Macaca mulatta: one gene and its partners. The protein of the gene in region 4 interacts with the protein of the main gene of each other region in a pairwise test. Links are inferred from orthologs where the notes say so. Each region holds a gene or a part of one and is shown on either strand. Other genes may lie near its edges. The genes, in order: SDCBP2, STAC3, PRR13, SREK1IP1 and SDCBP.

The links.
Region 1: the proteins of SREK1IP1 (region 4) and SDCBP2 interact in binary tests that used the Homo sapiens proteins (3 or more experiments, as listed by UniProt). The two-hybrid records come from large-scale screens. The link is inferred for Macaca mulatta from reciprocal best matches to the Homo sapiens genes SREK1IP1 and SDCBP2.
Region 2: the proteins of SREK1IP1 (region 4) and STAC3 interact in binary tests that used the Homo sapiens proteins (3 or more experiments, as listed by UniProt). The two-hybrid records come from large-scale screens. The link is inferred for Macaca mulatta from reciprocal best matches to the Homo sapiens genes SREK1IP1 and STAC3.
Region 3: the proteins of SREK1IP1 (region 4) and PRR13 interact in binary tests that used the Homo sapiens proteins (3 or more experiments, as listed by UniProt). The link is inferred for Macaca mulatta from reciprocal best matches to the Homo sapiens genes SREK1IP1 and PRR13.
Region 5: the proteins of SREK1IP1 (region 4) and SDCBP interact in binary tests that used the Homo sapiens proteins (3 or more experiments, as listed by UniProt). The two-hybrid records come from large-scale screens. The link is inferred for Macaca mulatta from reciprocal best matches to the Homo sapiens genes SREK1IP1 and SDCBP.

What each region holds. Positions count from the first base shown.
Region 1 is NC_133415.1:82,842,236-82,845,065, forward strand, and holds the end of SDCBP2 (syntenin-2), read left to right. Parts: coding exon 1-107; intron 108-185; coding exon 186-357; intron 358-1,406; coding exon 1,407-1,498; intron 1,499-1,797; coding exon 1,798-1,852; 3' UTR 1,853-2,329; downstream 2,330-2,830.
Region 2 is NC_133416.1:64,408,948-64,413,274, forward strand, and holds the start of STAC3 (SH3 and cysteine-rich domain-containing protein 3), read right to left. Parts: upstream 2,842-4,327; 5' UTR 2,646-2,841; intron 1,301-2,645; exon of another isoform or gene 1,300-1,300; coding exon of another isoform or gene 1,234-1,299; intron 973-1,233; coding exon of another isoform or gene 922-972; coding exon 705-921; intron 469-704; coding exon 371-468; intron 1-370. UniProt on the Homo sapiens protein: Required for normal excitation-contraction coupling in skeletal muscle and for normal muscle contraction in response to membrane depolarization. Required for normal Ca(2+) release from the sarcplasmic reticulum, which ultimately leads to muscle contraction.
Region 3 is NC_133416.1:60,591,520-60,595,962, reverse strand, and holds the start of PRR13 (proline-rich protein 13), read right to left. Parts: upstream 2,920-4,443; 5' UTR 2,825-2,919; exon of another isoform or gene 2,817-2,824; intron 2,715-2,816; exon of another isoform or gene 2,038-2,714; intron 1,930-2,037; 5' UTR 1,910-1,929; coding exon 1,891-1,909; intron 1,412-1,890; coding exon of another isoform or gene 1,348-1,411; intron 1,204-1,347; coding exon 830-1,203; intron 1-829. UniProt on the Homo sapiens protein: Negatively regulates TSP1 expression at the level of transcription. This down-regulation was shown to reduce taxane-induced apoptosis.
Region 4 is NC_133411.1:72,769,008-72,772,732, forward strand, and holds part of SREK1IP1 (protein SREK1IP1), read right to left. Parts: intron 1,083-3,725; coding exon 896-1,082; 3' UTR 1-895. UniProt on the Homo sapiens protein: Possible splicing regulator involved in the control of cellular survival.
Region 5 is NC_133413.1:69,261,652-69,265,376, reverse strand, and holds the end of SDCBP (syntenin-1), read right to left. Parts: intron 2,986-3,725; coding exon 2,894-2,985; intron 1,508-2,893; coding exon 1,453-1,507; 3' UTR 471-1,452; downstream 1-470. UniProt on the Homo sapiens protein: Multifunctional adapter protein involved in diverse array of functions including trafficking of transmembrane proteins, neuro and immunomodulation, exosome biogenesis, and tumorigenesis.

The DNA of each region.
Region 1 (2,830 bases), on a different chromosome or scaffold from region 4:
ATCCTGCAGATTGATGGGCGTGACTGTGCTGGGTGGAGCTCGCGCAAAGCCAATCAGGTGGTGAAGAAGGCATCACCCGAGAAGATTGTCATGGTGGTTCGGGACAGGTGAGTAGCCAGGCCTGGGCAGCCTCTCCGTCTGACCCCGGCCATGTCCTCAGGTCAGCTCACTGTCTCTTCCGCCAGGCCGTTCCAGCGGACTGTCACCATGCACAAGGACAGCATGGGCCATGTCGGCTTCGTGATCAAGAAGGGGAAGATTGTCTCTCTGGTCAAAGGGAGTTCTGCGGCCCGCAACGGGCTCCTCACCAACCACTATGTGTGTGAGGTGGATGGGCAGAATGTCATCGGGCTGAAGGTAGGCCGGTGGTTGCACCGGGGAGGGACTGCTGGGTGGTGGGAGGGCTCAGGTCTATGGGCAGCTTGCTTACCCCACCTGAGCCTCAGCGTCCTCTTCCGAAGGTAAGATGGTGTTCATAGGGCTGGGTGCAGTGACTCACGTCTGTAATCCCGGTGCTTTGGGAGGCCAAAGCAGGAGGATCACTTAAGTCCAGGAGTTTGAGACCAGCCTAGGCAATGTGAAACCCTCTTTCCACAAAAAAGCTAAAAAATTAGCCAAGCGTGGTGGTGCACGCCTGTAGTCCCAGCTACTCAGGAGGCTGAGGTGGGAGGACTACTTGAGCCTGGGAGGTCAAGGCTGCAGTGAACTATGATCATGCCACTGCATTCCAGCCTGGGCAACAGAGACAGACCCTGTCTCCAAAAAAGAAAAAGACAGTGTACCTAGAGCTCTGAGCACAGTGCCAGGCACATAGTAGGTGCTTAATAAATAGTAGCTATTGCTGGCTGCACGGACACCTCCTTGCTCTATGGCACTTTTTTTTTGTATAGTGGATCATGTTCAGTAGTAGGAATGTTTTAGAAAATTGTTATTCAGAAATCCATAGGGTCATGAGACTCTTCAGAACCGAGTTTGTCCCAGCCAGCCACACTTCTTGAGATCATTTGTCTTTATTTCCACCTGTGGCCATTGCTAGTCCTGTCTAGCACATCTTCTCGCATTTATTTTGGAACAATCAAGAAAACATGTAACCAGATTACATACATGTGTAAAGTAAAGGTCAATAGGCTCTGAGTAAGGGCCAGAGGTTCTTCTATGGCCACAGTGTTAGTGTTTGTACCGCCTGGCACATGTGGGAGACCCATGTTCTCACTCAAGCAAGACCTTACCTGGGAGTCTGCTGGGACCCTCATCTGACAGGCTCGGGGTCTGAGGCAGCCCTGCCCTGCAGTCAGGCATCTGTGTGTCCTCTAGCAGTGGCCATGCTGACTCCTCCACAGAGGGGCCTGTAGAGTTGCCCCTGGTCCCCAATCCTTAGGGTGATCACTTACTTGCCTCCTCTCTAGGACAAAAAGATCATGGAGATTCTGGCCACAGCTGGGAACGTTGTCACCCTGACCATCATCCCCAGTGTGATCTACGAGCACATGGTCAAAAAGTAAGGCTGCACCCCTCCTCACCCCTCCTCTGCCATCCCGCTCACCTCCCTGCCTCCCGGGTGCACCTGGCTCAGCCACTCCACTTTCTCAGCACTGACACAGGGCACAGACCCCGCCAGCTGCATACTCCCTTCCCCTTCCCCTCCCTCCAAGGTAGCTTGTGGCTTCTGGTGATTCGAAAGTCTTAGAACTGGGAGTGAAGGCCCACATGGGATGCGCTGGCTCAGAAGGGGGTGGAGGTTGCTGGAGGGCGGAGAGAAGGAGCTGCCAACTTGGCCACCATTGTTGCTGTATCCAGGTTGTCTCCAGTCCTGCTCCACCACACCATGGACCACTCCATTCCAGATGCCTGAAGCCACTGGAGGGCAGGGCGGGCAGGGTGGGCCTCCCGCCCTCCTGCGGCAAAGGGCAACACCCTCGGATGATGGGTTGCAGCTGGCCTGCTGCTTAACGTGGGAGCTGCCGTGAGGGGGGCGTGTCCAGGAGGGTGACCATGGGATGGCGTGGGTACGTCGCTTATACACACAGGCCTCCTTGGAGTCTCAGACTCCAGGCTGGGCTGAGGCTCAGGCAGAGCCCACAGGCAGCCGATTCTCTTGTGCTGATTTAAATGCTGAACACGGAGGCAGGCCGTCTAAACACTTCTTAAAGTTGCAACTGGGCCCCTTTCAAGAAATTTTGCTCTACCAGGAAAACAGTTACACATTTGAGAGAACAGAGCTACATTCTTTGTGAGAGCTTTTTCCTTGCCTTGACTTGCTCTTTGTCACAGACAGCATAAGTTATCAGCCTTGACTATCTTTTGAATAAAGATTTGATTTTAAACAAAACCCGTCCGCAAAGGTAATTGATTCCCCCCAAAACTATTGAAAATAAAATAAAAAGATAATTGAAAATTCTGGAATCCTCGGTCCCCTGACGTGCCAGGGCTGGTTTTCTCTTAAACTGTGGCGAGACCAGGGCCTTTTCTCCGTGTGGTCTCTGAGAGCCATGATTTGGCTTTGCCTCTGTCACGTGCCGCCTGCCAGCCTGGTGCAGGGATGACTGGAACTGGGGACAGGATGGAACTGTGGGACGGGGTAGGACTGTGGGGCAGTGGGGCTGGCAGAGGGAGCACTGGCTTTGGGGCACCCCCCATGTGACCATGGCTGTTTCTGCTTCTGCAAAGTGGGCATGAGAAGCCACTTCAGGGGATGTTGGGGAGGGTGAAACGCGATGTGCTCGTGGTGCCCAGCAGGGTGTGCCATGTGGGGGCAGGGGGAGGTGGTTCCAGACCCTGAGCCTGACCCCAAGAGAGCAGTGGTGCCCCAGCCCCGCACAGCTCTCTGCTT
Region 2 (4,327 bases), on a different chromosome or scaffold from region 4:
TGGAGGAGGGACCAGCAAGGGGTAGCTGGTGACATGTCTCCTCCTTTCTTTTTTTTTCGCTCTGTCACCCAGGCTGGAGTGCAGTGGTGCAATCTCAGCTCACTGCAAGCTCCGCCTCCCGGGTTCACGCCATTCTCCTGCCTCAGCCTCCCGAGTAGCTGGGACTACAGGTGCCCGCCACCACGTCCGGCTAATTTTTTGTATTTTTTAGTAGAGACAGGGTTTCACTGTGTTAACCAGGATGGTCTCCATCTCCTGACCTCGTGATCCGCCTGCCTCGGCCTCCCAAAGTGCTGGGATTACAGGTGTGAGCCACTGTGCCCGTCCATGTCACCTCTTTTCTACACCTTGTTCCCCAGAGCCTACTCACGATCTTGCCGAAGCATCTCTGCATTTCCACATAGGACTGACAGTGTTCATGGATGTTGGTTTTGCAGTTCTTACAGCGAAGCCCAAACTTGTTGTTGACTTGGGAGAGGGGGAGAAAATTCAGATAAGATTCCAGATTGCCCTTTCCCTTTGTACCACTGCTGCTACTCTTAGGTTCCCTTTTCTGTCTGGGACCTTACTTGCTCAATCTCTAACAGCATTGCCTTACACCAACTCTAGCCACAGCCCATCTGCTACAAATACTCCTCTTGTATGCCCTCTCCCCAACCTCTGCCTTCAACATCATACTCTCTTCACTCCCCTTTATGACTCACGAACAATCATCCGGGCACAGACATCACAGAACTTTGGCTTCTTGAAGAAATGATCTTTGAATTTGTGGGGCTTATCGTTGACCAGCTTAGGAGGTTCTGGGAGTGGCTCCTCCTCCTCCTCTTCTTCTTCTTCCTCTTCCTCATAAATGTAGTAGATGGGCCCACCCCCAGCTCCCACTGCCTCCCCATTGGCCTGGGGCTCTGGGGGAAGTTCCATTTCCTTTGTCCCTGTAGAACCCTTCCTGAGTAACTGCTTCAGCCGCTGTAGCTGAGGGAGGGAGTGAAGAAAACCCAACGTTAAAAGGACTTGTCACCCTCTCTAGAGTAGGGGGGTGTTAGAGCAAACAGACAGTTTTCTAGTTTTGGGCAAGGAATGTACCCCAGGATTAGGCAGGTATTGGTATTGGGGACTGCAGGTGCTGGCCAGCAAAACATGAGTCACACACAAATGAGATCAATTTAAGCACTCTTCTTCAGCTGTAAAGGTTTCCTGGCCCCCCACACCCAGTGGTCACAGGCCCAGACTCACCCCGCTTTGCCGAGTCTCTGCTGGGAAAGAGGGCTTAGGGGACTCCAGCACCTCCTTTTCTGTCATCCTGCAAGAGGTTGGACCCCACTATGAAATCTAATCCCTTTCACTCTTCTCCCCCTTATTTCTGTCCCTTGCAGTAGGGCGGTACTCAAAGGGAAGGTTTTTGGAGAAACGTGATTAGAGATTTTGTTGTTGTTGAGATGGGGTTTCACTCTGTCACCCAGGTTGGAGTGCAGTGGCATGATCATGGCTCACTGCAGCCTTGACCTCCCAGCCTGAAGCAATCCCCCTACCTCAGCTTCCTGAGTAGCTGGAACACAAGGTGCACACTACCTGGCTACCTTTTTATTTTTTGTAGAGACATGGTCTTGCTTTGTTGCCTAGGCTTACCCGAACTAGCTCAAGCAATCCTCCCGTTTCAACCCCCAAAGTGTTGAGATTCCAGGCGTGAGCCACTGCACTGGGCCAAATACAGATCATTTGGCAGGTTTTATTAACAGATTTCATGGAAGTCTAGGAAAAAGCCCAACATGACCAGGCGCGGTGGTGCATGCCTGTAATCCCAGCACTTTGGGAGGCTGAGGCGGGCAGATCACTAGAGATCAGGAGTTCAAGACTAGCCTGGCCAACATGGTGAAACCCCATCTCTACTAAATATACAAAAATTAGCCGGGCGTGATGGTGGACACCAGTAATTCCATCTACTCAGGAAGCTAAGGAAGGAGAATCGCTTGAACCCAGGAGGTTGCAGTGAGCCAGAATTGTGCCACTGCCCTCCAGCCTGGGTGACAGAGCAAGACTCCATCTCAAAAAAAATAAAAAATAATAAATAAATAAATAAATCCCAACAGACTAAAGAGCTCCCCAATTAGTTCCTCAAACTGATACTCATCCTTCCATCCTGAGGGGAGACCCCATAGTTTACAGCCCTTACAGTGTTCAAGGCTGCATGGTTTATGTTATTTTCCTATAGGTACTTTGTTTCTCTTGGGAATCTGTGGGCAACAGAGATGTGATGCATACCTTCCCAGATCTCCTCTCTTCAAGAGGTTTAATGTGTGTCCTCGTGTGCGCACAAGGAAGGATGGACTGCAGACATTTGTCCTCCCCTACTTCTTTCTTGAGCCCTGGGGGCCCTGTGCCTAGTTCTGTCCCAGCCTGCCTCAGGGCTCAGCTATTTTAAGTTTTCAGGGTAATATGAGCCTTTCCTTCCCTTACTACTTCATTCCCTTTACCCCACCCCCACCCCCCCTCCAATCCTAACTCATCCTAGAGTAGAATAATAATTTTACTCCTAAAACCCAAACGACTCACAGACAAGGAAAGAAATGAAGAAGCTGAATAGATTATAGATCAGGGCAGCTGGCGTGAGCAGTCGTGGAAATCGAGAGGATGAAGAGGTAACTTACGTTTGGGATTCCCTAAATCAGTCCACAGTCTGTAGAGGGAGCTGGGAGCCCCGAGGCCTTGATGGTGGTGCTGGGGAAAAACTGGTCCTCTTCCTTGGGGGCTAAGCCCCCCCAGTACCCTGTGTTCACACCAGCTACCCAGTCGCTATTTGTAGACCTCCTAACCTCCTGCCTTGGTGTCAGGGCTGAAATGACAGGGCTGGAGGAAAGTGAACAGCTGAGAAACACAGCTGACACAGAGAAATTGGACACTGAGAGGTCTGGGGCAGGGCTGGACCCTAACTCCTCCCATCCCTCCAGAGCTGCTGTTCCTTGATTCTTCATCTAAGGTGAACAGGTGAATAATGGCCAAATTCAGCAAGGGACAGTTTCTGTTCATGCTCATATAACATTTAAAGGGAGTTTATTTTTATTTTTCATTTATTTTTTGAGACAGGGTAAAAAAAAAAAAAAAAGACTAATTCGAACGCATAGAGCTCTCCTATCAGCCATACTAGATGGCTTTCTTTTTTTTTTTTTTTTTTGAGACAGAGTCTTGCTCTTGTCACCCAGGCTGGAGTGCAATGAAGTGATCCGGACTCACTGCAACCTCCCAGGTTCAAGCGATTCTCCTGCCTCAGCCTCCTAAGCAGCTGGGATTACAGGCGCCCACCACCATGCCCAGGTAATGTTTGTATTTTTAGTAGAGACGGGGTTTCACCATGTTGGCCAGGTTGGTCTCAAACCCCTGACCTCAGGTGATCTGCCTGCCTCGGCCTTCCAAAGTGCTAGGATTACAGGCGTGGGTCACCGTGCATGGTTAGATTGCTTTTTATCTGTGGGTGGTTGGAGAAGTACTTTGCTATCCTGTAAGAAAGTGAAGAATATGTAGTATTGCTTCATTCCCTCCATCAGCTCCCAGAGACATCTCCCCACCCTCCTTCTTGCAAAATTTTGTCCTCAGGGTGAATGGAATTACCAGGGCTATTAAAAAGGGCCAGTTAACACTAGACAGAAGGATATAGCTGCCACATAAGGAATCTTTTTAATAATTTCTAAGTAATGTCCCCTTCCTCATGAGAACTGCAAACTCTTAAAGGTAGGATGGCCAACCTCACACTTCCTAAACCCTTTTGATTCCCTGATTCCATCTCCCACCTTTGATGCCTCAGTATGTAACTGATGGATCAAAGAGACAGATGCCATTCTGATCTCACAGGGGTTTACCCTTCTCCTACTCTTTGGGCTGTGACATAGATGAAAGAGGAGATACTCCCATCTCAGGGGAGAGCAATTTAGAGGTGGCAATGCAGTGCTGCTTTATTCCTTGTATCTGTAAGAAATAAAGGACTGTGTTGGAGACTGAGTCAGGCAAGCTCCTGTAGGACCATGGTTAGGGATACAGCTACTTGGACCCAAGAGATTTCCAGGGCAACATGCTTTGTCATTCTCACCCACTACTTTTTTTTTTTTTTCTATTTAAGGGTGAAGTTTGAAAAGGTGGTGCAGGATGGTTCTGACTCTGCAGGTTCTTTAATGGCCCTGCTCTGACAGACTGCAGAACAACAGGGCTTGCTTTGAGATGCTCTAAAGGAAAAGCTGCACCTTGCAGGCAAGATGACTTCTGCTCTTCCCCTTTTTTCAGCCACATAGGACAGGGACTGCTGAGCATGTTTGGATAATATAGCATCTTGGCACTGTGA
Region 3 (4,443 bases), on a different chromosome or scaffold from region 4:
TGCTTTTATCCTTGCACTTTTTTTTTTGAGATGGAGTCTTGTCTGTCATCGAGGCTGGAGTGCAGTGGTGAGATCTGGGCTCACTGCAACCTCCGCCTCCCGGGTTCAAGCAATTCGCCTGCCTCAGCCTCCTGAGTAGCTGGGATTACAGGCATGCGCCACCACACCCAGCTAATAATTCCCAAGTGCTGGGATTACAGGCATGATCCTTACTAATTTTTAACAGTCCTCTAAAACAAAGATACTCAGCCTTGGGGCTGAGTATAAAACCTCCTTAGTCCTAGGCTGTTAGAGGCTGAGTCACTGACTGCTCTTGTCCTCACTTTTTCTGCTGGATGATAGGGCAAAGGGCCCATGTAATTAACACAAGGCCCTAAGAACACTGAAAGAGAGAAAGAACTCCAGGAACTAGGGCCATATTATTATTCTGTTAATTATTATAAGACTTTGCTTTGTCAAAGGAATGACTTTAATTGATGTTTTGATAATGTCAGTGAGGGGGTCCAACTTGCTAGAATATGCACCTGCGGGGAGGGGAGCAAAAGTTCTGGGAGAGAGTAGGGCAGAAAAGATTTGGCTTTTGATTCTAAAAATCTATTTTAAGGCTCACCCTAGCTCCCCCCAGATAGGAGAAGCCTGATGTTTCTTTTCAAGATAATCAGATTCTTCCCAGTAGCAATCTTTTACAAAAAGGAAGAATCATCGACCAGAGTGACACAATCGTCATCCCCCACGTCCACAGAATGTGAATCCCCCTCACCCAACCCCTGCCTACCTAGTCCCTCTGAGGGGGCACCCCTTCCCTAGCCAGGCTCCAGAGGGTACTGACCTTGCCACGCTTGTGGTGCTTGTGGTGCTTGTTCATCTTTTTATGAGCTTTCTTCATTTTCTTCTGCATCTTCTTGTCCACTATCACTGCTGGTCCGACCATGCCAGGAGCCAAGGGATTCACAGGAGGGATTCCAGGGGCAGGAGGTGGGTATGGAGGAGGGTAGGGACCCAAGGGTTGGCATCCTGGATACCCTGGCTGTGGCACAGGATGAGGGGGCCCACCTGGGGGGAAAGCTGGATTGCCCTGGGGAGCTCCTGGGGGAGGAGGACAGGGGCCTGAGGGAAAGAGTGGGTTAATAGGTGGTGGGTGGGCAGGATTGGAACCTCCAGGGCACCCGATGTTGGGGGTATATGGATTTGGCCCTGGCTGCCCTGGGGGAAGAAGCAGATTATAAACATTAGTATTCCCCAGAGTCTCCGACAACAAACAACAAAAAGAAAGAGATTCTTTCTCACCCAATACTTAAAGGGAAATGGAAAAGTGACAAAGGAGAATAGAAGGTAGGGGAGACAAACCTGAGTTGAGGATAAAAGGGGAATGTCCCCGTAAGGGCTGGAGAGAGGAGGGAGACAGTGAACTCTGAGGAAGACAAAAGTACTGGTCAGGCCGGTGGGGCGTGGTGGCTCAAGCCTGTAATCCCAGCAGTTTGGGAGGCCGAGGTGGACAGATCACATGAGGCCAGGAGTTCAAGACCAGCCTGGCCAACATGGTGAAACCCCGTCTCTACTAAAAATACAAAAAGTAGTAGGGCGTGATGGCGCACGCCTGTAATCTCAGCTACTCCAGAGGCTGAAACAGGAGAATCGCTTGAACCCAGGAGGCGGAGGTTGCAGTGAGCCGAGATCGCGCCACTGCACTCCAGCCTGGGCGACAGAGACTCCGTCTCAAAAAATAAATAAATAAAATAAAATAAAAAAGCACTGGTCAGCTGTAGACTAAGGACTTTGCTTTTGCGGGTGTGGCGGGTCGGGGATGGGGCAGCTGATAGAGAAACTTCCTGTTACGCAGAGTCCATCAGAAAAAGGGTTAGGGGTCGTACAGAACCCCCAAACACCTACCGGCATTGGGATTCCACATGTTTAGGTGTGTCCTCCAGCCTGAGGAGAAAGAAATGAGGCAAAAAAGATGACAGTCTAGAGGTAGGAAGTGGACTTAGCACCGGAGCCCAGCCCTAACGTCTTCCACCCCACAGTAGGCTCTCCCACCTGGAGAACTACCACGACTTCCACATAAGACACATCTCTTTTCTGGCTGGGCGCGGTGGCTCACGCTTGTAATCCCAGCACTTTGGGAGGCCAAGGCGGGTGGATCACGAGGTCAGGAATTCGACACCAGCCTGGCCAACATCGTTAAACCCCGTCTCTACTAAAAATCTAAAAATTAGCCGGGCGCGGTGGCGGGCGCCTGTAATCCCAGTTACTCGGGAGGCTGAGGCAGGAGAATCGCTTGAACCTGGGAGGCGGAAGTTACAGTGAGCTGAGATCGCGCCACTGCACTCTAGCCTGGGCAACAGAGCGAGACACCGCCTCGAAGAAAAAAAAAAAAAGAAAGAAATGTCTCTTTCCACTTGTTTCTTCGCCCTCAATACCTACTTGGTTCCTAACACAGGAATCTAGTTCCCAGGGCCCCTCCACCTAGGTTGAAGCGTCTAACTCTTCGCAAGAGGGCATAGCCCGCGAGTCTCGGCACCCCCATCATTCATCCCCCTTTCCTGGAACTGAGTCCGGAGGCCTTTAACCACCCACAGAGTAAGAAAGGATCTCAAACAACTTTCTCCCTGGGGAGGACCTCACCTCAGGCTAAGAAAAGGATACGCCTGGAGGCGAAGAAGGAAGTTGCTCAAGAACCTCAAATACTTAAATAAATGGACACAGCCCAATTCCTCCAAAAAAGAAAAAAGGCAAATGAAGATCCTAGCCCCAAGCTGCGAAGGGGCTCTTAACCCAGCAATGGGAAAAGGAATAAACCCATGGAATTCAGATACCACGTCACCTTTCCACCGCCGCCTGGACTTGATGCGTTCTTCGCAGTCTCGGCTCTTACTTCCTAGTCACACCTAGTCACCCAGACCCCGTGCTTCGGTACCCGCCTCTGCTACTGCCTAATTGGTAATTATGTGGCCACTCGGCTGATGATTGGACAACAAACTAATCAATCACTCTGGTCCAACTGAGGAGGAAACGGTTGCTCTAGCTGCAGACCGGAGCCCTTTACGACTAGGCAAGTACTGAGAAGCCGGAAATCTCCTGGGGGCGGAGCTAGGCGGAGAGCGCTAGAGGGGGCGGGGCCAGCTGCTGGGCAAAGTCCTAGAGACACCGAGAAGAAACTCTGCCCTTGCTCTCTGCTAGTCATGGTTCACTGGGTGCAATACCTTGTAAAGTGAATACACTATGGTAAGTGTTGTAATACAGATATAGACAGAGTTCTCGGCAAGGGCAGAGGAGCTGCTGAGTCCTAGCCCCAAGCCTCAATGTTCTCGGCTCCCTCTTACACTCGCAAGGGAAGCAAACAAACATTCTTGCGGAAAATACAGAGATTTCATAATCTCTCCCAGGATTCCCTCTCTCAATTGCATAGCTCCGCCATCTGTCAAGAAGCCTAAACCAGAAACCAAGGAGGTCTTCCGTGATCCCTCTGTCTCCTTCACCTCCCTTACCCCAAATTACCAGTTTTGTCTCACAAATACATCTGGAATCTCTCCACTTCTCTCCGTCTTCCCTGGTCTAAACCTCCCATCATCTCTCGCCTGGATTCATTTCTCCCCTGAATTGCTACAATGGCCTCTTTTTTTTTTTTTTTTTTTTTTTTTTTTTTGAGACGGAGTCTCGCTCTGTTGCCAGGCTGGAGTGCAGTGGTGCGACCTCAGCTCACTGCAACCTCCGCTTCCCGCGTTCAAGCGATTCTTCTGCCTCAGCCTCCCGAGTAGCTGGGACTACAGGCGCGGCTAATTTTTGTATTTCTTAGTAGAGATGGGGTTTCACCATGTTGGCCAGGATGGTCTCCATCTCTTGACTTCGTGATCTGCCTGCCTCGGCCTCTCAAAGTGCTGGGATTACAGGCGTGAGCCACCGCGCCCAGACTTTTTTTTTTTTTTTTTAAAGAAAACAATACAAGTGGCCAGGTACATTGGCTCATGCCTGTAATCCAAGCACTTTGGGAAGCCGAGGCGGGCGGATCACGAGGTCAGGAGTTCGAGACCAGCCTGGCCAATATGGTAAAACCCCGTTTCTACTAAAAATACAAAAATTAGCCGGGCGTGGTGACATGTGCCTGTGATCCCAGCCACTTGGGAGGCTGAGGCAGGAGAATCGCTGAACCCGGGAGGCGGAGGTTGCAGTGAGCCGAAATCGTGCCACTGCACTCCAACCTGGGTAATAGAGTGAGACTCCGTCTCAAAAATAATAATAATAAACAACGACAACAAAAAAATCACACACAATACAATTAACAAACTTGACCTGATGAACATGCATTGAACCATGCTCTCAAAACTTAATGACTGCTAATTCTCCTTAAGCATGCTTAGAGCATTTATAAAAATTGGTCACATTCTAAGTTAAGCATGTCTCAACTGATGCAATTCAATTTTGAAAGAACTGTTCAATACATAT
Region 4 (3,725 bases):
CTGAATACAATAAAAATCAGTTCTAATAAAGATTTAGCTATCTTCCCAAATAAAAATTTCTGTGTTTGAGGTATCACTGTAAGACATGCCAACATGGCACATTTGTAAAACAACCCAGGAGTCTATCCTAAAAATCCTGACCAACTCAGCATCATCTCTGCAGACTTACTAACAGGCTGAACTAATCTCTTTATATAAGAAAGAAATATTTCAATTATTACAAAAACAAAGGAGGCAGGTACTAGAAATTCTGCATTTCGTAGAACAGTGAAACTTCGTTAGAGATATTTTCATGATCATCTTCCTGCAGACACCATTCATTTAAAAAGTCCTAGTCAAGACCATTAAGCAGCTGCACCTTCTATGACATTGAAAAAAAATCCCTAGAGATTTAGAAAAAAAAGAAGAATTTCACTATCTTTAAAAGATATTCTATTTTAGTATATAAAGCTATTAAATTTTTCTGTGTCAAGAGCAAAACATTACCCCTTACCTAGCTTCATGATTGGAAGGTGGACACCTGAATCAGCAATACTCATTAGCTGCTACGTAGATGACCCGTGTTGACTGCGGTAAAGCCATTTTACAATCAACTAATGAAGTAATAACACTAGCCAAACACACAGAGACACAAATACCAAAAACGATGTGTTTAGTATACACAAATAGCTATACTTGGGGCATGGTGATCAAGTAACAAGACTGATTTATTACTTTGCAGTCATAGCACATTAAAAATATATTGCCAGAGGGATAATGGTCCCACATACGAAAAATGTCTATGGGGAAAAGGCTGTGATTTATTGCAAAGCACAATATATAGCAAATTCCAAGGAAGGGCAAACACTTTTTAAAAACAAATTTTTAAATTTAATGGCTTAAGCCAAAGTCTCAGTTACTTTCTGGAGAATTCAGAATTAGGTGTAGAAGACTGCTTTTCCTTTTTTCTCTTCTTTTTTTCCTTTTTGTGATGTTTCCCTTTTTTTGATTTGCTCTTTTTTTCTTTTTTCTTTTCTTTCTTCTGATATTTTTGTTTCTTTTGTTTTGAAGTGTCCTCTTCAGTGGAACTGGATGAGTAAGACCTATGGATAATAATACACACTGACTGAGAATTGCATTTATGACTGATAGATAAATTTAAGCGGGATTTGAACTGCCTTAAATTCTTCTTGAAGTAAGGTAGTGAGTATAAACATAAACTTAAAATGTGCTTCATATATTTGCATTCCCTTAAAACGCTGAATTTAGAATTTGTGCTGCTTGGTCACAGAAATTAACAAAACTAGTATCTCTATTCCACTCAATTTTAGTAATGAGTTTTAAATTCAGTAAGGATGAAATTATTTTTCTGTGACTTTTGGTTTTTCATGCAGTTATACCATTCAAAATCCTAAAATGCAAACAAAGGGGCATTCACCAAGCCTTATTATATTCACTTGTGTATATAATAACTTAGCATATTTTCTTAAAACTGCCTCAAAAGTTGCAATTCTCTATTTTAAAGGGCTATAATTTTGCGTTCATAGGAATGAATTAAAGCTGAAAGTTAGCAAAATAAAATTCTGCTGATTTTTCAAGTACTGGGTCCGTCTAGATGGAGAGTAATGAATACTTGCATTACAAAATAATTTTCATTAGTTACAAAGGATGCTTTTATGCTAGATATAAATGAAAAAGGATGGGTTATCATTATGCGTTTGAAAAATATTGCTTTAATACTAAATTGGAAAAATTGGTTGGATTCCTTCCTCTAATATTAAAAAAAAAGGAAAAGAAAAAGAACAGAAAACACTGTCTTTCAAGATCTTACGTAAAGAGATGTGCAACATTCTACCTATACTCAAACTCAAAATATGAGTGACAAGACAGAAACTGAGTGAATTTAAAATGTAAAAAAAGGTACCTGAAGAGTTAGTTTAGTGATCTAAATATTAGGAGTTAAAACTCAAACTAAGAAAACCTGAGACGGACATAAAGGAGGTGCCAATGTAAATTCAGGAGACTACAGGGGTCCAAGGCTATCTTGTGTCTGTATAGTGTGTGAATTCCTTGACTGCCTTCCTCCTTTAGTGACTCCGAGTTTTCCCTTATTTTTGTAATGTTGTGTTCCTTTCTCCTCCTAGTTTGTCTGCTTACTCAGACTTCCGACCATCTGTTAAAGCTTATTTTCTCACGTATTCTCCTGCTCCCTTGCCTCTTCAGTTCTGTTATTCTCGAATCTTGTCTACTTTCCTGTTTTAAAGACCCTGCTTGACTTGACCTCTGGATTCTGACTAAAGCTTCTTCCCTGCCTGCACTTTTTTCTTTAGCTTTTTGGTCCCAAAGTTTTTTTTTTTTTTTTTTTTTTTTGAGACAGAGTTTCACTCTTGTTGCACAGGCTGGAGTGTAATAGCGTGATCTCAGCTCACTGCAGCCTCCACGCCCCCGAGTTCAAGCTATCCTTCTGGCTCAGCCTCCCAAGTAGCTGGGATTACAGGCACCAACACCACCATGCCTAGCTATTTTTTTTTATTTTTGTATTTTTAGTAGAGATGGGGTTTCACTGTGTTGGCCAGGCTGGTCTCAAACTCCAGACCTCAGGTGATCGACCCGCCTTGGCCTCCCAAAGTGCTGGGATTACAGGAGTGAGCCACCGTGCCTAGCCTGAAGTCTCAATTTTAAGATAAAATTTTAGGCTGTGGCATAGCAACACGTTCAGGTGGCACTATCTCTGCTAAATGTGCACAGAAAAGTTAGTTTAATTTCAGGTTTGTGATGCTCAAGGTAAACAGGCCCAAATAAATAATCTGTTACTATAAAAGAAATATTTGGGAGGCCAAGGCAGGTGGATCACAAGGTCAGGAGATTGAGACCATCCTGGCTAACACGGTGAAACCTTGTCTCTACTAAAAATACAAAAAAATTAGCCGAGCATGGTGGCGGGTGCCGGTGGTCCCAGCTATTTGGGAGGCTGAGGCAGAAGAACGGCATGAACCCGGGAGGCGGAGCTTGCAGTGAGCTGAGATCGCACCACTGGACTCCAGCCTGGGCGACAGAGCAAGACTCCGTTTCAAAAAAAAAAAGAAAAAGAAAAGAAATATACAGATGTACCTCAACTTACGACGGGGTTACGCCCTGATAAATCTATCTGCAGCTGAAAATACACAAAATACACCTACCCTACTGAACATCATAGCTTAACCTGGCCGCCCTTAAACATTCTCAGAACACTTACATTAGCCTCTAGTTGGGCAAAATCATCTAACACAAAGCCTATTTTTATAATAAAGCGTTGAATATCTCATGTAATTTATTGAATACTGTCCTGAAAGTGAAAAATAGAATGGCTCTATGGGTACCTGAAGTACATTTCTACTGCACTATCATAAAGTTGAAAGATCATATCGAACCACAAAAATTGGGAACTATTTGTATTAGAATTTGGAAGACTATTAGATAATCTCATTTCCTATAAGCAATCCATCTTGCTGTGCTGCAACACATGAGTTAATAATACATGAACAGAAAACTCTGAGCTCTACATTCCTATTTGTTTTTATATTAAAGATTATTAGTTAACTCCTAACACTTGAAAGTGAGCTACTTTTCCAATTTATAAGACACCTGAAATATTCAAATACATGTATTAAATGCTCTATAAAAACTACGAAGTGGCAGCCCCTGGTTTCTAGAACCTATTCTGTATGAGAACTGGGTCTAAACTAGAATTATGGTTAATTGCTTTT
Region 5 (3,725 bases), on a different chromosome or scaffold from region 4:
GAAAAAACTTGAGTCAGACCATACTAATAGAATTTTCAAAGTCAGTTTCAAGTGTTATTAAGTATTATCTGGTCTCAGGTATTGCTAGGGACAGTCAGTAGCCTCAATGAGTTCCTGCTGCATGGCAGGGGTGAACCAGCTCTCTTGGCCCTGGTAATCTGGGGTTCCCAGCTGGAAGCAATTTTCCTGACACTCAGTCTCAGCACTGTGAGCTGTTCTTAGGGCCCCTGAATGTCAGCTTGTTCTGGGAAATGATGTCTCCCATAGCTGAAAGTGAATTTCACCTGCCTATCTTCTAGATCATGCATAAGTTTGGTGAAAGCAAATGATGCAGTAACAGACAGACTAAAATGTAACTTTATGTATACATATTTAATTAGAATAGCCATAAACCAAAAAGAAGAAAAAACTCAGGATAAAATGTCACTATCATTTTGTTTGCAAGGAGTCAGGAAATGGAACAAGTTACCAGAAAAATATTCTAAGACCATCCCAAAGTAGCTAGGTTACATAATCTTAAGAGTCAAATGCCAAAATTAAGTATTATACCACTTAATCCACAAATGAACAAAAGAGGAGTCAAAAGTTTATCCTGTTTAGTGTAATAACTTTTACATTAAATATATAGTGATTCACTTCTCACAAAGTGGTGCTGGCAACTTTTAGAAGAAAGAAGTTTCCATTATGCATTGACTAAAAAATCTCAAAAACAACTAAGCAGCTATGCTATAGCTCAGTAAGTACCATTAAACTGTTCTGGGCTAGTGTACATTTCAGGTTAATAGAGATCTACATTTTGGGTTTTAGAAAGGCAGCAATAATTATATTTTGGCTTTTAGTCTAGATGCTTAACATAGTTAAGGCGACAGTTTAAGCATATTAAATGAAGGTAGTTAAAATTTAAGAATCATCACAATCTCTTGCAACCTACATACACTGTTTAATGCTTACATGGAATGAAACCAGTGTTCTTAATTGGCATTTTATACACACACAGAATTTTTTTAAAAAATCAAAGGCAATCATTCTAAATGTACTATGGTAGCATGTTAAAAATGCAAATATGCTATAGAACTAAAGTAATATGAACAGCACTACTCATTACCTAGGAGAAAGGTGACTGGTTTTCACACAAAGCTAAGCCTGTATCAGTCATCCTAATCACAATGGCTTATAAAAGCATCAGGTTTCCAGTAGAGAAACTGTTCTAGGAAAGTCAGTAAATCTCTTGAAAGTTTCACATCTGTAAAACCAGGATAAGGCTACAACTATTTTGAAATCTGAACAAGGTATCAGATGAAAATAGTAAGATTCCCAGCCATAATGTAAGATAGAAAAGTCCTCATGCAGCATATGCTTGCTGGCTCCGGGAAAGCTTCATGTGCATAATACAGAAGTTGCCAAAGAAGGAAACTGGAGACGTTCAGCTGCATTTCCATGGTGCCGTGAATTTTAAACCTCAGGAATGGTGTGGTCCATTAGGCTTTTCATGATGCTTGGTGCCATCCTACAAAAGAGGTGCTTTTATTATATACTGAGATTCTGTCCCCCCCCCCCGAAAATGCTATGTTAATCCAAGAAAATTCCCAATTCCAATTTAGCACCTGTTAGCATCAAATGTGAATGGAGAGAAGGGAAAGATCTTTTAAATGAGTCCAGAAGCATCTCTGGTAATCTAGTTGTTGACAGACCCTCAGTGGGAAAGGCTATCTGTATTTGGCTAGAGAAGTTAGGATACAAATGAATTCTTGTACATTAAACCTGGTGATTTTTTTTTTTTTTTTTTTTTGAGGCGGAGTCTGGCTCTCTTGCCCAGGCTGGAGTGCAGTGGCTGGATCTCAGCTCACTGCAAGCTCCGCCTCCTGGGTTCACGCCATTCTCCTGCCTCAGCCTCCCGAGTAGCTGGGACTACAGGCGCCCGCCACCTCGCTCAGCTAGTTTTTTGTATTTTTTAGTAGAGACGGGGTTTCACTGTGTTAGCCATGATGGTCTCGATCTCCTGACCCTCGTGATCCACCCGTCTCGGCCTCCCAAAGTGCTGGGATTACAGGCTTGAGCCACCACGCCCGGCCAAACCTGGTGAATTTTAAAAAACAGAAAATGACACGGCTGTGATGAGTTGGGGTAGAGGGATCCATCAGTGATTTAAAAAAAGAGAACCTTAGAACAATTAGTCATGACAATAACTCCTTTTTACCCCCTCGAAGCGTAGGGAGGTGCATTCTATCCAGAAGCCAACATACAAATTTCATTACAATGGTTATGTTTATGAATCTTTTAAATCTCATTTTCACATGCATGATAGAGGTTCTGAAAGAAGGATTCCAAGCTGGCTTGACAAAAACAGCTATGGTAGATGCTAGGATACGAAAAGCTGTATAGAAGTAACCTTGTTGCCTCTTTTCATTTCTGATCACTTGGCTTTCTAATCCTCAGTTCCTGAGCACAGATAGCACCAACACACCACACATGTCTATCTGCTTCCTGAGATTCTGGAGAGAAGGGAAACTTACTCCTAGCATTCCACCAGCAAGAATTCTCCATTACGAACCACTACAACTATATTTATACTGAGCAGAGGAGTGGCAGGCAGTACAACTGCAGTCAATTGTACTGCAAATTGAAAGCTAAAAGCATGCCCACTTTTCCTTGCATTCTTCTACTAGGCAATATCAAAACTGAGGAAAGTATATGTGGATTTTATTCCATACTTGGGAAGTTGTAAGAGCTCATCCTTACCAACCCCGCTGACTTAAATAACTTACTTCAAATTTCTAGATAAACACCAGTATTCATTCCTTAGGTAAAAGACCCAAAGGGCTGAGAATTAAACTATAGTGCTTACATTAAGTCACACGACCATATGCATTAAGTTGAGGAATTGTTTACTTACCGCTTAATAATATGTTCAAAGATAAAAGCAGGCATGATTGTAATAGTAACTACAGTCCCAGATGTTGATAGTATGTCTGCAATTTGAGAGTCCTGATAAAAACACATATTAAAAATCAATTCCACAGAGGCTTTATTTAATAAATACAAAATTATGCCAGTCTTGGTAAAGAAATACAAAATATATGTCCTGTTATGTTTTGTTAAGATCTCTAAAATCCTGCTTGGTATTTCTAATTTTTTTCTAGTATTTCTTTTTTTTTTTTTTTTTTGAGACGGAGTCTCGCTCTGTCGCCCAGGCTGGAGTGCAGTGGCGCGATCTCGGCTCACTGCAAGCTCCGCCTCCCGGATTCACGCCATTCTCCTGCCTCAGCCTCCCGAGTAGCTGGGACTACAGGCGCCCACAACCGCGCCCGGCTAATTTTTTGTATTTTTAGTAGAGACGGGGTTTCACCGTGGTCTCGATCTCCTGACCTTGTGATCCGCCCGCCTCGGCCTCCCAAAGTGCTGGGATTACAGGCGTGAGCCACTGCGCCCGGCATTTTTTTCTAGTATTTCTTACCAAGTTTAATTGTACACTATTTTACAGCTAGTAACCAGTTTGCTTAAGTAAACTGAGTTGAATATTTTAGTCAAAAAAAAAAAAACCCTTTTCCTTTCTGAATATTAAATAATTTTCCCCATATACAATACTACCATCTCCTCTTAGTTAACTGTGTATTCTAAATCAAAGTCTACGAAATGAGGAGGTCATGCTTAAAACTTTTTGACCTTAAGACAGACTTATTTAGGAATTTGTGGAGGAGAAAAACTATAAAAATAAAGTATTAATA